Pelodiscus sinensis: one gene and its partner. Each later gene encodes a partner of the first gene's protein in a complex. Links are inferred from orthologs where the notes say so. Each region holds a gene or a part of one and is shown on either strand. Other genes may lie near its edges.

Region 1 (7,118 bases):
TTTTGTATCTTGTCTTTCCAGAGACTAGTGCCATTTAAAAGTCATATCCTTCAGAAAGCAGATCTTATGCCTTGCCTGTGATTGACAGGTCTGGTTCTGCCACCAAGGTGGCAAGCAACAACAGAATATACTGATCTTACTGACGCAGAAACTCAACTTCACTTTCAGATTTCTGTCTGGAAGACAGAACAGCACTTTTGATAAAATGAACAGATTTGATCTAGAAATCAATGACACACAAACACGGGACTCCACAATGCCATTTTTGTCACTTTTCAAACATGTCCAAGGTGGAATAAGTTGATGATAGCTAAAACTAAGCTCACTATTAAGTTAAGGTAGCCATAGGAGCCCCAATCAAATTCAGTGGCAACCACTGATGTCAACAGCAGTTAAACCAAATACATGATATTGACTACATAATCACAGTACCAGTGTTTAATAAATCATTTATGTAAAACAATCTATCTTAAGTCAGACAACATAGTACTGAGGCAGTGAAACATAGTGGGATAAGGGCAGGATTCCAGAACAACCATGGATGTGTAACTTCTCCCACAACAGCTTGTGAGAACATAACATAGTCTTCAGCAACAACTGCTCAAATCTCTACCAACTGAGCTAAAAGAGAAACCACAATAGCACTCTCTTATCTGTTATGTGGAACAGACACTAGCTGGAAACATGACACCTTGCGCCAAAGCCAAACACTAAAATTTCAGGGGTTAGCCAAGTTAGTCTGTACAGGAAAAAACAACAACAAATGGTCTGCTAGCACTTCATAGACTAACAAAACATGTAGATGGTATTATGAGCTTTCGTGGGCACAGCCCACTTCTTCAGATGACCGGAGTTCATATGAAACTTATTATTAAATTTAAATTGAGTTCATATGAAACTCCGGTCATCTGAAGAAGTGGGCTGTGCCCACGAAAGCTCATGAAAACATGTAGATGGCATGTTAGTCTATGAAGTGCTACCAGACCATTTGTTGTTTTTTTTCCCTTGCCTAAAAAGCAATCTGAAGGTGGAAAAATGGGTTAAACCTTCTATTTTTTTTGGCTTTTTCATGTTGTACCACAGAAAACCGGATAGATTTGTTTTAAAATGTTTTGATTTTTGATAACTTAGAAATATCAGGAATGTCTAGCCCGATTTAGCTGGAGGTCTCCTTGGAGGATGAAACATTATATGGAATAGGACCTTTTACAGTCCTTCAAGAGGCAGAATACTTTATCTTTGAAAAGTGTTTTTTCTTAAGTCTTTAAGTTGAATAAAAACCTTAATATAACCAACGGAAAAGTAAACAGTGTATAGAGAAATTACTTGTACATTAGTTAGATTGCAATTCCTTGTTTCCGATAATGCAATAATTCTACTATTTTTCAGTTTTCAATAGAACCCTACCAGAAAAAAAAAGTAGTTGAGATCTGAATTTGTGAAGTAAAGCACAGAAAAAGAGACTTTTATTTAAAAAAATAATAATAAAGCCTAACCCGACTTGTACGCCCACTGTATACGTCATGAAGAACCAAAAAGCAGGCGTTTTAGCCCACTTCTAGCATAAGAACATTCTATTCAAGTGATGAGTAACAAGCCAGCTTATGAGTATATTTCTAATTTAGGATGAAGCGTGCTAAAATGAAGCCATCACTCCATTTGTGTATATAAATGCTATAAATAATCCTATGTGGCTTTCTATAGCTATTTGCAATGGAACTTAAAATGTATTTTTATTATGATTACAGTTTTTAACAGAGTTTATGTTGCATAAAGATAATTTTAAACTTTATGAAACTGAGAACCAGAACTTAAAAAAATTAAAAAGTGGCAGATTAGAGGAAACCCTGATATAAATAGCAACAAATATGGAAAAAGATTAAGGGAAAATTAGGATATTAAAAAGTAACCGTTTTACATTTAACATAATAAACGCAGTTTGTGAATTAATTCTACAGGATGTGAGTAGATGTTCTCTTTTTAAGGGAGGAAGGATGGTTTTGTGGGTAAAGCATATGATTAGAGATCATAAGCTCTGGGTTCTATTACTGGCTCTTCTCCAGACTTTATGTGACATTGAGTAAAATCACTTAACCTCTTTGTACCTAAATTTCCATATCTGTAAAGTGAAAATATTATTACCTCAGAGGAATGATGTAAGACTAGATTACTATTCAGGAAGTGTGCTAAGAGCCTCACTTAGGAGATGTTATAAAGTATATTATTTGGTTGCATGGAAAGGGAGAAACAGCCAATGGTCTGAATACAAAATTAGTAACTAGAAACATCAAAGTCTTTCACAGACTTATAACATTAGCATAAAGTCACTCAAATTTCTCTATTCCTGTCACTGTTTCTCATCTGAAAACAGAAATAATTCTCTGCCTCTTAAGACCTAACTAAGGTGTTATGTTTGAAAACGTAAGCTTTCTTATCACTGTTTTCTCTCCACTACTCTTTCATAAAGAAATTAATGTATTTGAGCAATCCCCAACCACACACGCATTTAAAATGTGGTTTTAATAATAAATTTCCTAGCTTGTATACACTGCTATGTCCATTTATTTACATAATTAAATCAGGTGACCATTTGATTTTTGCTTACAAACAAGGGGAACCCACCCCCTTCAAACATTCTGGAAAAAGCAAAAGGCACAATAATTTAATGAAGACTCAGGAGATTAAAACATCATATACAATGAACTACAGTAACTGCTGCATTTACAAGAGTGTGTTTGTTTTCATTCCTGGGAAATTTACCTTGATCAAACATTACAAATCTTCCCTTTTGCAACACACCTTGGCACCAGCAAAACTAGGGAGGTTTTTAAAATCTTTCAAACTATAGGATTATTATGTGTGTTATTTTACTAGTCCTGCTGTTGCTGCCTACAAGCTCTGGCTCTTCAGACTAATCCAGTGCAGCAGCAGGGATTTTGCAGCATTACAGGAGGAGGGACAGCAGGGGAGGGAGGAGTAGTGACCTCAGAGTACCTTGAGCAAGTTTTATATAAACCAGGTAAGCTGTCCTGAGGTGACACTCACTGAAAAGCTAAGAAGCAGACTCCCAATAACTAAAAGGAAAGCAAGAGGTCCCTTTAGATAATATAGGTAACTTTCATTTTTTACTGCAGTTTCCTAGCCCAATCCAGGCACACTAATCCTCATTCCACCGCAAAGGAAAACCGCCCTGCTCTCCCCATTGCGCCTGCTTCATCCCCACCCCCCACTTTTGTAGCTTGCCAAGAAAGCCCCATTTCTCCTTCCTCTAGCATATGGCTCCCCTGCCTGCTATAGCCTACCAAGGAAAGGTAGTACCTGCCTCCCCCAATAGCCTTCCTTTCCTCCCATCTCCACTAACGGTATCCCTCTCCCACTGGCTCTTAATTAAACAACCCCCCAGCATTTCCTCCTCCCTTCCAAGGTCTCCCAATTAAGGGCATTTTGGAGTTTTCCCTCCTCCCCAGTTCTCCAATGACAGGAAGAGCCCAGAAGGGCTTGAATGCAACCTTGCACCACTGCAGTCTCCCCGTAACAGATGCCATGCACCTTCTTTCCCCACAGGCTCGTGCATAGCGGGGCCCCCACTTCCTCCAGCCTCTGCTGCGCCTTCTTCCCCCCCCCCCCCGTTTCCGAGCATTGCAGTTCCCTTCGCCCTCAACAGGATCCCACCCCTGGAGCCTCCCAGTCAGAAACCCCCGCTCCCCGCAGGCATCTGCAAGCGACAGCCCCGCGCCGGCCAACATTCCACGGCTCGCGCCCCGGCTTCCGCGCTCCAGTCTCTATCGAACGTCCGCCGCCCGCGGGCAGGAGAGAGTCAGGGATGAGGAGGGGGGAAACGTTCCACACGGAGCATCCTCCCTCCCAGGCAAGGCAACCAATCAAACAGCCCCGGCGCCTTAGGAGAGGAGGGGGGGCGGGGCGGAGGCGGCTGAGAGAACGCGACGGCAGCGGCACGTTCCTGCCCGCGCGCGGCAGACTGGGAAGTGTAGTTTCTCCTCTCCCAGCCGTAGCCATTTTGTGGTGAAGGGAACTACAACTTTCCCAGCGCTCCGGGAGCGTTCCAAGGGGGCACGCGGAAAACCCGCGGCGCGCTGGCCGGCGAGGCCCGGTGCTGGTGGCCCGGCGCGTGGGAATGTGACGGGGCGAGCGGCTCGCGGGGCCGGAGGATCATTCAAGAGCTTTGCAGACAGGCCGGGAGGGGGGCAGGCGAGGGGGCGACTGAGCGTGCCGCGCTAGGGATCATCGCCCAATTCCCCGCTTCGCTCCCTCGCAGTGGCCGCGGCGGCGGCTCGCCCGAGGCCAGCTTTGAATGCGAAAAGGGGGGCCGAGGTGTTTGACGTTTGCCCTGCACGAGGCTGTGCTGGGCTGGCTGCGGCTGCTGCATGCGGCTTGGCGGGGGCTTGCGGCCAGGGCCTGGGTGAGAATTGAGGCCAAGCCCTAACTGAGAGATTAAAAAAAAGCCCAGGTCCATTTAAAGTTGCTGTCGGAGCGCTGCTCTCATTGGTTAGGGGAGAGCTGGAAGAGCAGGGACACACACAGTGCGTGCAGCCTTCACTGCTGCTAGAGGAGCTGCTGCTGCTGGAGTTGTCTCTGTTGCTTTCCCTTGCTGCAGCAGCATAAACGTGACTTCCAACATTTTTATTTATCTTCTCTTTTCCACCCCTTCCCTTTTGCAAGATGTAACTACAGCTCAGACACTAAGGACCTACAGATCGTGGAGGTGGCTTGGGAAAGAGAAAGGGGGATTTCAAGGGCGTCGTTTTTGTGTTAGGGAGAAAATTTCCATTATGAGTGTTTCTCTAAAGTGATTTTTTTTTTGTTTGCTTCGCATTCGTCTCTGGTTTTCCCCATTCCCCATATATCGGATTTATGGCAAGGAAAATCACATTGTGAGGAAAGAAAGTCGGATTACAAGATACTACTACAAACAAAAACTGGATTTTTGGGGGTATTTGAACAAAAAAATTGTTTCGGCTTTACTTCATGAAGCAAGTGTCCCCTTTTGCAATCAGAATTTGGATACCAGAATGAGTAAAGAAAGACCCAAGAGGAATATAATTCAAAAGAAATACGTAAGTGGTCATAACATATATCATTTGACTCCCAGTTTTAGGAAATGGCAGTGAATGTCAAGTTTATAGCTAATCTCGCAGCTATAAAGGTTTGGAACAAATGTTTAGTAATGCTGATTTTTATTGTGCTCAAGTGTGGGGGAGTTTTTTTTAAACCCTTTTAAATAGCAAAACCTGCTGACCAGTTTAGCTATAAAGCCAGATTTGTGTAGCGATACCTCAAGTGAATAAATGTATTGACCTCAAATGACACAATCATAATCTAGTTTTAGATGAAAGGCTGGGGCGGGGGGAGGGAGAGACACTGCTGCGATGTTACTAAACTCTATTTTCAAATGGATTTATTAATAATGCACTTTACATGCAAAATAATATTTTATAGATGTATATTTATAGTTCTGTTTAGTGAGGACACTATGGTTGTTGAAAGCCCTTTAAGTTGAAATCGAATGTCTGGTTATGGCGAGCTTGTTTCTTGCACTACCACATCAAATGTAATATGTGATCGTTTGCTTATCTGACTTGCAATAGAAACCAAACCAGTTGGGGGTCATCTTACAGGGAATGTGTTTCTTCTTAGGATTGACTCTAATAATGGGGAAATGGCTTGGTTTAGTTTAAAAATGCATGATGGTGTCTCGAAATGCTGGAAGAATATGGTATAGTTCAGGCTGTACACCTACCTCTGTTCTTATTCAACTGCTTGTAACCAGATCCTTGTAATAGTCTAATCCTTTAAATATATACATTTGCAAGGATAGTTGGGTTTTGGTCCTGCTTCAGCTATGTTTTGATTGGCATAGGGGCGTCTTTAAGTTTGGAAAAACTGAGGGGATTCGTCAGATATGCTGCAGAACTAATTATTTTTATCTGCGCGTTTAAAAATAAAATATATTTCACTTTGTTCAGAAAATGCTTCAAGATATATTAGATGCAACACTCAAAAGTTGTATTATATATGTATTATATCTGGCTTTTTTCCGTGGGGGGCATATAGATGTATTTCCTTAGGGTGATGACCTTCGGGACCCTTTGCCTTGTTTTTAAATAGATTTAATAAAAGATAAAATAAGGCTTAAGAATCCTGTTTCTGTTGATGCTTGTCTCTTTAAAATATAATTTAGAGAAACGAGAGGCTAGGAAAATATTAAAAACGTAAAGGGTATTCTGCACCGAATTTACGAATTAAAAATACATCCGCATTGCAGAGGAATTGGGAGTCTGAAGCGGACTAGTTTAAAGTATTGTATCGAAACAGGAACATTGTCTAGAAAGTCTAACGAAACATGTAAGACGTGCACGTTTACCAGGCAGTGAAACAAAGCGGAATGGGGGACGCATTTGCTGTGTTTAATTAATAAAGTAACCTATTATTTTTAAAGCGACTCCACGTCTGGACGAGTGAACAATGGTACCTTCCTCTGGTTTTGCCTATAGTGCTCGTTAAAGAATTAATAAAACTACTGTCACCCCTCCCCCCTTTAACCCGAGAGGAAAGGTATGAGAGACACATGTGAGCGTGGTAGGGAGACAATGTATCCTGTGTTCACAAGTGTAACTCAGTGGAATGGAGGGAAATCGCTTTTTTGGGGGGGGGGGGGGGGAGGAGTGCAGCTTACTGTGTTCCTCAGTGTGTGTGTGGGGGGGGTGAACGTGGGTTGCTGCACTATTGCAGTAACTGGCACAGACGCAAGCATGGCTGCTGCTGCTGCTGCTGCTGCTGTGGGCCGGCCTGGTCGTTTTCCCATGCATCCTTTAGAACTGCGGCAACAGGTTAAGCGGAATGTCAGAACAAGCCCCCGGGTTCCCGGCCACTCAGCCCAGTCGGGGCCAGGTTCTTGTTGTTCTTGTGACGTCACAAAGGGAAGGGCCTGGGCTCAGTGGAATCTTCGTCTCATCGATGTTGTGATTTCCCCTCCCCCTCCTGTGACGTCAAAAGTGAGGCGGGCCGTTTGGCTGGGGGAAAGGGGGAGTCACCAGGGCACTAGCTGCTGCTACTGGGGAGGAGACAGTTCTGGCACCTAGCACTGTTTTCTCCAGGTG
Region 2 (7,711 bases), on another chromosome or scaffold:
CACATACTCCCTTGGGCATGTATCTTTGTGCTTCTGTGCCTCAGTTCCCCATCTGTACAATGGACTAGGGATGTAAGCGACTAATCAACTATCTGAAAAGCAAAAGGTTATCGGATAGTTGACACACTAGTTGACTAATTGCTTTCCTCAGCTGCTGCTTCTATCACAAAGAGGCAGCGGGAGGGGGGGAGAGGGAGAGAGGGTTTCAAAGCAGACTCCCCGCTGATCCTGGGCTCCATGCAGCGCTTCCGCTTTGAAATGTGCAAGAGCCCCAGAGATTGAAATGCCACATGGAGTTCAGGATCAGGGAGGAGTCCACTTTGAAAAGTACAAGAGGCCCAGCTGAAATGTACAAGAGTTCCTGCAGTGTCTCTTGTACATTTCAAAGGCAGAATGTCATGCTAGTCCTTATCAACTAATCGAACAGTCGATGGAAATACCATTGACTATTCAATTAGCTAATTATATTTAACATCCCTACTTTCTATCTCATAAGTGGGTTCTGAAAATGAATAAAATATTGTAAGTTTCTCAGGCTCTACAAAATGTAGGCCACAGAAAGTGTGTCAAGAGAAAGGGAAATTTTCTAATGATAATTTAGAAGTGGGAGGCAAGAAGCCTATCCTAAATTACGAGGGCTATAGAGGGAAAGGGCTTTCACCAGAACGGCTATAAAGTAGAGAGAATTTTTAACAAATACACACTTAAATGGATTTTTGTACTTTCATCAGTATTTTGGTTTTACAAAATGTACACATACACAAAGTTTTGAAAAATTTAGCAGGTCTTTTCAAACAAAAAAGGTCACAATCTGGACTACTATGAGGCACACGGTAAGTACTCTGAGGGGTTTTTTGAGTGATTCTACAATTGTACAGTTCAGCTGGACTTTAATGTTTTCATGCTGGTTTTGCAGCATGAAAAGTCTTCTTTTCTTTTTGTCTTTGAAAAACAAATGCTTTAAATCCAGCAAATGCAGAGTACGACTTCCCATAGGCAGTTAGTTTGAAGTATAATCTCTGAAACTATAGTGATTTACTGGCTAATGTACACACACAAAATTGCCCCATCTGCTGGATGGCCTACTCACATTTTTGTTGTATAACTCTTTCTTGGCAATTCTGCGAGAAGAACTAACAGAGGTGTTGCTAGCAGCTCCATAATTAAGGACAGATTCCATTTCTCGCTTACAGCAGGGATCTCTGTCTCTGTTTTGTATAAATAATACATTGTATCTTCCACAAATATACATGGATAGTTTAAATTTTCCAAAGATTTTCAAACAAATCTGTTAATTAGCAGGCCCTACCTCTTAGACAGAGAATGCTCTCTTTCTTCATCAGATTCCCAACAAAGCAGGGATCCCCTCTATATTCAGTAATGGGCCCCTCGCTTTATTCTTATGAGTCTGAAATTGCCTAGTTTCATAAACGCCTAGATTATACAGGGATATAAAAGTAGACATCTGCCCTGAGTCCTGATACTCTTTTCCCTGGGTGTCAGGTGCTGTTCCATGTAACATTTAATCATGGCCTTTCTTGAACCTCTGGGATCTTCACAAACAAGATACTATGTTTCTGCACCATCAACCTCCTCCTCTAGGTACAGAAGCAGTCCTCCCAGCCCCAGACAGGAAATGAGTCAAAGCCAGACACTGTATTAACATCATCCCTTGATGAGGCAATGGTTCGATCTATACTTTCTCATCCACACATCTACAAGAGCTTCCACACATCTACAAGAGCATCTGCTCAAACATGTAGCTGATTCTCTTGCAACACTGGTGGAGACAACACAAGGTCTTGGACATTCTTTTTGCTGTCATACCGGGTTGTTTGTCACTCCTTATTACAAAAGGCCAGTAAAGCACATCTGGTAAACAACTGTATCAGTACCTCTGACTTCTAAAAAAGTCAGCTAAGAGGTACTGGGTATCATTTGTCAGATCTGAGTATCTGCACTCACCTCTACCTTACTTAGTAATGGTTATGGTGGTTAGTGAAACAAGCCCACTGCAACAGAAAGATAACTTCCAGAGATTTATTCAGATGTAAGAGTTACTCATCTACTGGCCAGTATTTCTGGATTGCTAATTATCAGGTGTTACTGGTGCTGATTTTTAAAATTACATTAAATTTTCAGATTTGACATCTCCCTGGAGAACAGACTGGAGTTTAAATCTTTGATTGCTGATGAACAGCTGGTAGCCAGGATGACCCTCCACGCAGCAATGGATGCCTCTGAATTCAGCCTCTGATTCAATGACAATGTCTATCATTAGGAGTGTGAAAGATCTTTCCCCCCTTTTTATCCACTTCTGCCCCCTTAGTGATAGACATGTCCCTGCTGAGATAGGGAGCATATCTGGACCATTATCAGGCTCCAGTTCTCCAGACCCATGAGGATACCTGACTACATATGAATATTGCAGGGCCCAAAGTGGTTCACAGAGACTTTTGCATTCCTACCAATTGTCCATGGACTGACCATTCAAGTTATAACTGGAAACATGTTATATAAATGGGCAGGGAGGATCCCTTTGATGTAGAGAATGCTCTAGAAGATATTTTTTGTCAAGCTGTGAGTGGATGATCGAGGATTCTGTTATCCATCAAATCTTCCAAGTGCTGGGTCATCCTTTTGTAGACCTATTTCCAACAGCCCAAGAAGATGAAATGTATCTATTTCTATTCCAAAGGAGGTCTAAGCCCAGGATTCCTGTCTGATGCATTCCTCACTCAATGCTTCCTATGGATGATGTATGCTTACCCTCAAATCCCTCTGAGTCCTAGCATGCTCAGAAAGATAACACAAGATAGTAATAGCAACTACTTGGCTCAGGTAGTTTTGGTACCTCCTGGAATTGATGCTCTTATCATTTCAGTCACTAAAACCTTTTAAATTTGACCAGATTTAATACCTCAAAACTATGGGAGCATCTTATCTCTACATCCATCCTCCCTCTTCCTCACACTCACAGCTTGGCTACTTACTGGAGATCAGACACAGAGAGATCATGTTTCTCTGATGTCCAGAACATTTGATCTACAGTAGAAAAGTTTCCAGACTAACATAGGCTGTTAAGTACAAAAGATTCAGATTTGATGAGAATGTAAATTACAACCTATTGATTCCCAGACCCCTAATTCTTGGACTATTTATACTCTATTAAGCACTTGAAACTATCTATGAGAGTGCACTTGGGAGCCATGTTCACACATCACTCCATCCCCTCTTCAATGCTAAAGTTTTTCTCTGCCTCGCTATGATCACATTTTTAAAGAGCCTTATACAAGCTTTTCTCCCCATGAAGGGAACCTCCTTCATTGGACTTTAACGTTGTGCTGACAGGCTTTGTAAGCTGCATTCACTCCATCCATTTAAGCACTTACCAAATTGTTACTTACTGCATGTGTCTATGAAAACATCCTTAACAATGGCAATTACATCAGCTAGATTTGGGGAAAATGTAAGCTCTCATGGTTGACCTTTTCTGTACAATATTTCATATGGGTAAATCATTCAGATCTCTCCCTGAATTTCTGTCCAAGGTAGCAATGGGTTTCCATTTGAATAAAAAGTTTTTTGTCAGTGTTTCCCTTAAAACACTTACTAATCAGGGAAAGGTAGGGTGTACATCACAAGTTCACAGGGCCTCCTTTAATTCACTAAAGACCAAACCTGCCACAGTTTCCGCAAGATGATTTGTAATATTTGCCAACAGCAAGGAATGTCAACCAGTATCTCCTCTGAGATGACTCACGTGAACGTGGAGTACCTTAGGGCCTGTTACAAGTTAGCTAGTTGAAAGCTCTCTCACTCAGACTAGGGCTCACACCCACTTGGGGTTCCTCAGGCCCTATCTCCCTTAAGTGCTGTGGAAAGAGCACCATCTTCTTTTGGGGGCGTGCTACTGCTCTCGTCCAGGGGCACATCCCCCCATGCACATGGTAGGGCAGGGTGCGTGCAACGTTAAGAGTGGGATGGATTTGCACAAGTGCCCAATGATGTACGGAAAGTCTTATCTTATGAAAACCCATAGGCTCTGTCTGTACAGGGGGGTTCTGGTGCAAGAACACGTCCACGCTGCCACATGCTTTTGTGCGAGGGCATCCATGGCAGTGTGGATGCTCTCTTGCGCAAGAAAACCCTGCCGCGCGTCCGCGTCCACACTGCCCTCTTGCGCAAGAGGGCTTACACTTGTTAGAAAAGAGTGTAGCTCTTGCGAGAAGCCCAATGCCGCAGGGTAAGCCTTGCACAAGAGCGGGCGGGCCGTGTGGATGCTCTGCCGGTTCTTGTGCAAGAACCCACCAGTGCAAACATAGCTTTATTGAAGTGTGGGGGGGGGCACCCCTAGCCTGACCCACAGCGCCTGGAAGGGGTGAAGGCAGGGAGGGCCCGTTCTCTGGAAGAGCCAACAGAGAGAAGCCTGGAGCCCTGACTCCCGCCCAGCCTCGTGTCCACTCAGCACTCCCCCTCCCTTCCCTGCCCGCCTCAGCGCCCCCCACCACATTTGGTTCTGCCCACTCGCTCCTCTTCCCCCCCCTCCCCGTTTGGTTCTGCCCGCTCCTAAGCAGCTTCGAGTCCTCAATTCCTCCCCCGCACCGACGCCGCGGGCGCTTCACCCTCCCAGCTCCGGTTTTTTGTCCCCGGGCGGGCTCCGTAGCGCGTGCGGCGGCCCCTCCCCTCTGCGGCTCGCTCGCTTCTGCTGCGCGATTGTGCGGGCGAGAGGCGGCGGCGGAGCGAGCGAGCGACCCAGGCGGCGGCGGCGGCAGCGGCTCGGCGGCGCCATGGCGGCCGCTCTCAGCGACATGGCGGAGCCGGAGGGGCTGCTGCCCGGCGAGGCGGCGGCGGGCGAGGAGGAGGAGGAGGCGGCCGGGGCGGCGGCGGCGGCGGAGTCCGAGGCGCTGCTGCTGCTGCCCGGCGAGGCCGAGAGCATGTCGGAGCCCAGCCCGGAGAGCGCCAGCCAGGCCGGGGACGGGGAGGACGAGGAGGAGGAGGAGGAGGAAGGCGGCGAGGAGGAGGCGAGCAGCCTGGTGGGGAGCAGCAGCACCAGCAGCGGCTGCTGCAGCGACGAGACCCGCTCGCTCAGCCCCGGCGGCAGCAGCGAGGCCGACGCCAAGGAGGAGCCCAAGGGCCCGCGGGGCAGCCAGGAGGACGGGCTGGGCCGCGGCGGCGGTAGCAGCAGCAGCAGCGTGTCCAGCGGCGGGGACGAAGGCTACGGCACGGGCGGAGGGGGCGGCAGCGGCAGCAGCAGCTGTAGCGCCACTTCGGGGGGCCGGCGCGGGAGCCTGGAGATGTCCTCGGACGGGGAACCCCTGAGCCGGATGGACTCGGAGGACAGGTCAGTGCGGGCCCCGCGCCTCGGCAGGCTGGGGGTAGCCACAGCCCTGCGGTTGCTCCGCGGCCGGGGCTTGGGATCCTCGGCCCTCCAGCTCTTCCCTCAGCCAGGATTCACCCTTGAAATCCCGCACGGGATAGGGGCCCTGAGACGCCATCTCCTGGGCCTCCGGCACACAAGAGCTCCTCGAAATTCACCTCTCTTAGCCCAGAGAGACATGGAGCAACACCAAGCCACCGTCACCCACACTCCTGCCCCATCTCCCAGTCTGGGGCAGTAGGCAGCCAGTACAGGAAGGGATGGGTGGGGATTTCCTAGAACCGAGAGTAAGGGTTAGGAGCCGCCAGGTGGGTTGTGTATTCCTCCTGAACTGACCCAGCAGACGGAAGAGAGGTCTCGATACTTTTATTTGCATGCTGATTTTTTGCATGGTTAGTGCTCTCTCCTGAATGATTCTAGTCTTGCCAAGTTTAATGATAGTGAGCAGAAAAGTCCACAACTTCTATACTTTCAGATATCTATTTGGTCTTAAAATCTTTGTTTCTTCCTGAAAGTTTTTCGGGAAAAATCTCTGGTCAGGTGAGATTTCTTGCCGTATAGAAATCATTAACTTATTTTGATAGCCACTCGATTTGGTTCCTTCCTAGTTTGGTGTGCAAGAAGCCCAGCCTTTAAATAGTAGAGTTTAACTACTGTTTCCTGGGATGCTAATATCTCTTTCAAAATACTTTCAAGTGTCTCTAGTTGTATTTTGTGTTTAAAATGCAAACAGCAGGATCTAAACCTCAAAGATCAAGTGCTAAAGGTGTTCTCCATGTATTACAGAGAGAACATAAAGAAGCAGCCTGTCTAACTGTAGGGGGGAAATTTTAGTTTACTTGATCAGCATAGATTGTTATCTGGTATGTGGAAAAACCTCCTCGTGTACCAATCTTTGCTGTGTAAAATATTAGTTTTCTTCATTTAAAAGCCACACAGATTGATAATCCATGTAGTTAGTAGACAAGGTAGGTGAGGTAATTTGTATGGTGGACCAACTCTTCTTGGTGTAGTGATCTTTACAATTTTTTCAGGACTTGAAATATGTATGTAACTGAATCCAAAGAAGGATGAACTTTTTCGATTCCTATATAGATTTATCTTTTACACTAAATCTTTAGTTAATTCCTTTTTGTAAATGAACAATGAACTTAGCGTGCAGAACTGAATATTTAAAAATACTGTTTTGGCATGATTTAAGTTCAAAAACATAAAACTAGCAGCTCATTGACTGTCAAGTGCTACCACACAAACTAAGTGATAGGCAAATAGAATAAGAAATGCTAAATTAGTTACTTGAGTCACTTTACTAGTCCAACTCTCTTCTGGAGCTGCTTAATGAGTTTCAGAATGGCTTAATGATTCTGTAACTTTGATTATATGTGGTGCTTTGTGTCCTTGACACATGTATAGATCATTGCCCATTATTATTTTTACATAAATATGTTTTTAATTTTACTTAAGTGGAGAAATCTGGTTTATTTGTTCATATAGAGGAGCAAATGACAAAACAGTAAGGTTCTTAGTAGCATTTGAAAAGTTATTTATTTAGGTTTATAATGTGCTGTGTTTTTATCACTCCTAACAGGACATGATAGTGTGTGTGCGCGCGTGGGGCACGACGACAACCAAACTATGTTAAAAGCTTAGTTGAAGAAAAGCTTAAAATGTCCGTTCAAATACTGCAGAAAAGTAGCAGATGAGATTGATGTCAGTATATTTGAGTATTGACAACCTCTAGTGTTCAAATCAGCCACCTCCAAATCATAGAATTGACTTGAAAATCCTGATGATTTAAGAAACAATATTTTGGGTGCTTTGCATTTACCTTCTGCGTCATATGCTTTTAGTATGTATTGGTGTCATGTTTTCATTCCTTTTTCAAAGTGGAATGCTAGAAACTTTTTAAATGAGATTCTCATTTAAATTGCATAGAATCTGGGAGTTTGGGGCTTTAAAATATGAAAAATCAGTATTGCCAATCCACACAATTTTACTACAATGTCTAGCAATATTTGGTGTTTTTTTTAATCTAATGTAAAAACCACTTCATGTGTTTGAGTGACTATCTCGACTATCTCCTGGCCTAGTAGATACTGGAACACAGATACGAGCTAACTAGCCTGGTGCAAGTTAAGGATATTAAGAAGTGGGTACTTGACTAATTGTGTATTCAGTACAATTTGTTTCGAGTACCCGGTTAGTCAGTAAGGGGCCCTGCTGCAGCTCTGCCGTTTAAATGTAATAAGAGCCAGCCATGCAGGCAGCCTGGCTCCTCCTACATTTAAACTGCAGAGCTGCAGTGGGGGTAGGTCCAGAACTTGGTGCAAG

The links. The genes of interacting proteins can lie anywhere in the genome.
Region 2: the proteins of JARID2 (region 1) and AEBP2 are in contact, whole or in part, in a cryo-EM structure (PDB 8VNZ), measured with the Homo sapiens proteins. The link is inferred for Pelodiscus sinensis from reciprocal best matches to the Homo sapiens genes JARID2 and AEBP2. Residues at the interface, in NP_004964.2 of Homo sapiens: Ser148, Lys151, Pro152, Lys153, Thr154, Glu155, Asp156, Leu158, Thr159; in NP_001107648.1 of Homo sapiens: Arg407, Ala410, Ile411, Asn414, Leu415, Glu420, Ser421.

Annotation. Positions count from the first base shown.
Region 1 is NC_134712.1:106,767,678-106,774,795, forward strand, and holds the start of JARID2 (protein Jumonji), read left to right. Parts: upstream 1-4,009; 5' UTR 4,010-5,030; coding exon 5,031-5,075; intron 5,076-7,118.
Region 2 is NC_134711.1:114,664,547-114,672,257, forward strand, and holds the start of AEBP2 (zinc finger protein AEBP2), read left to right. Parts: upstream 1-4,600; 5' UTR 4,601-4,790; coding exon 4,791-5,344; intron 5,345-7,711. UniProt on the Homo sapiens protein: Acts as an accessory subunit for the core Polycomb repressive complex 2 (PRC2), which mediates histone H3K27 (H3K27me3) trimethylation on chromatin leading to transcriptional repression of the affected target gene.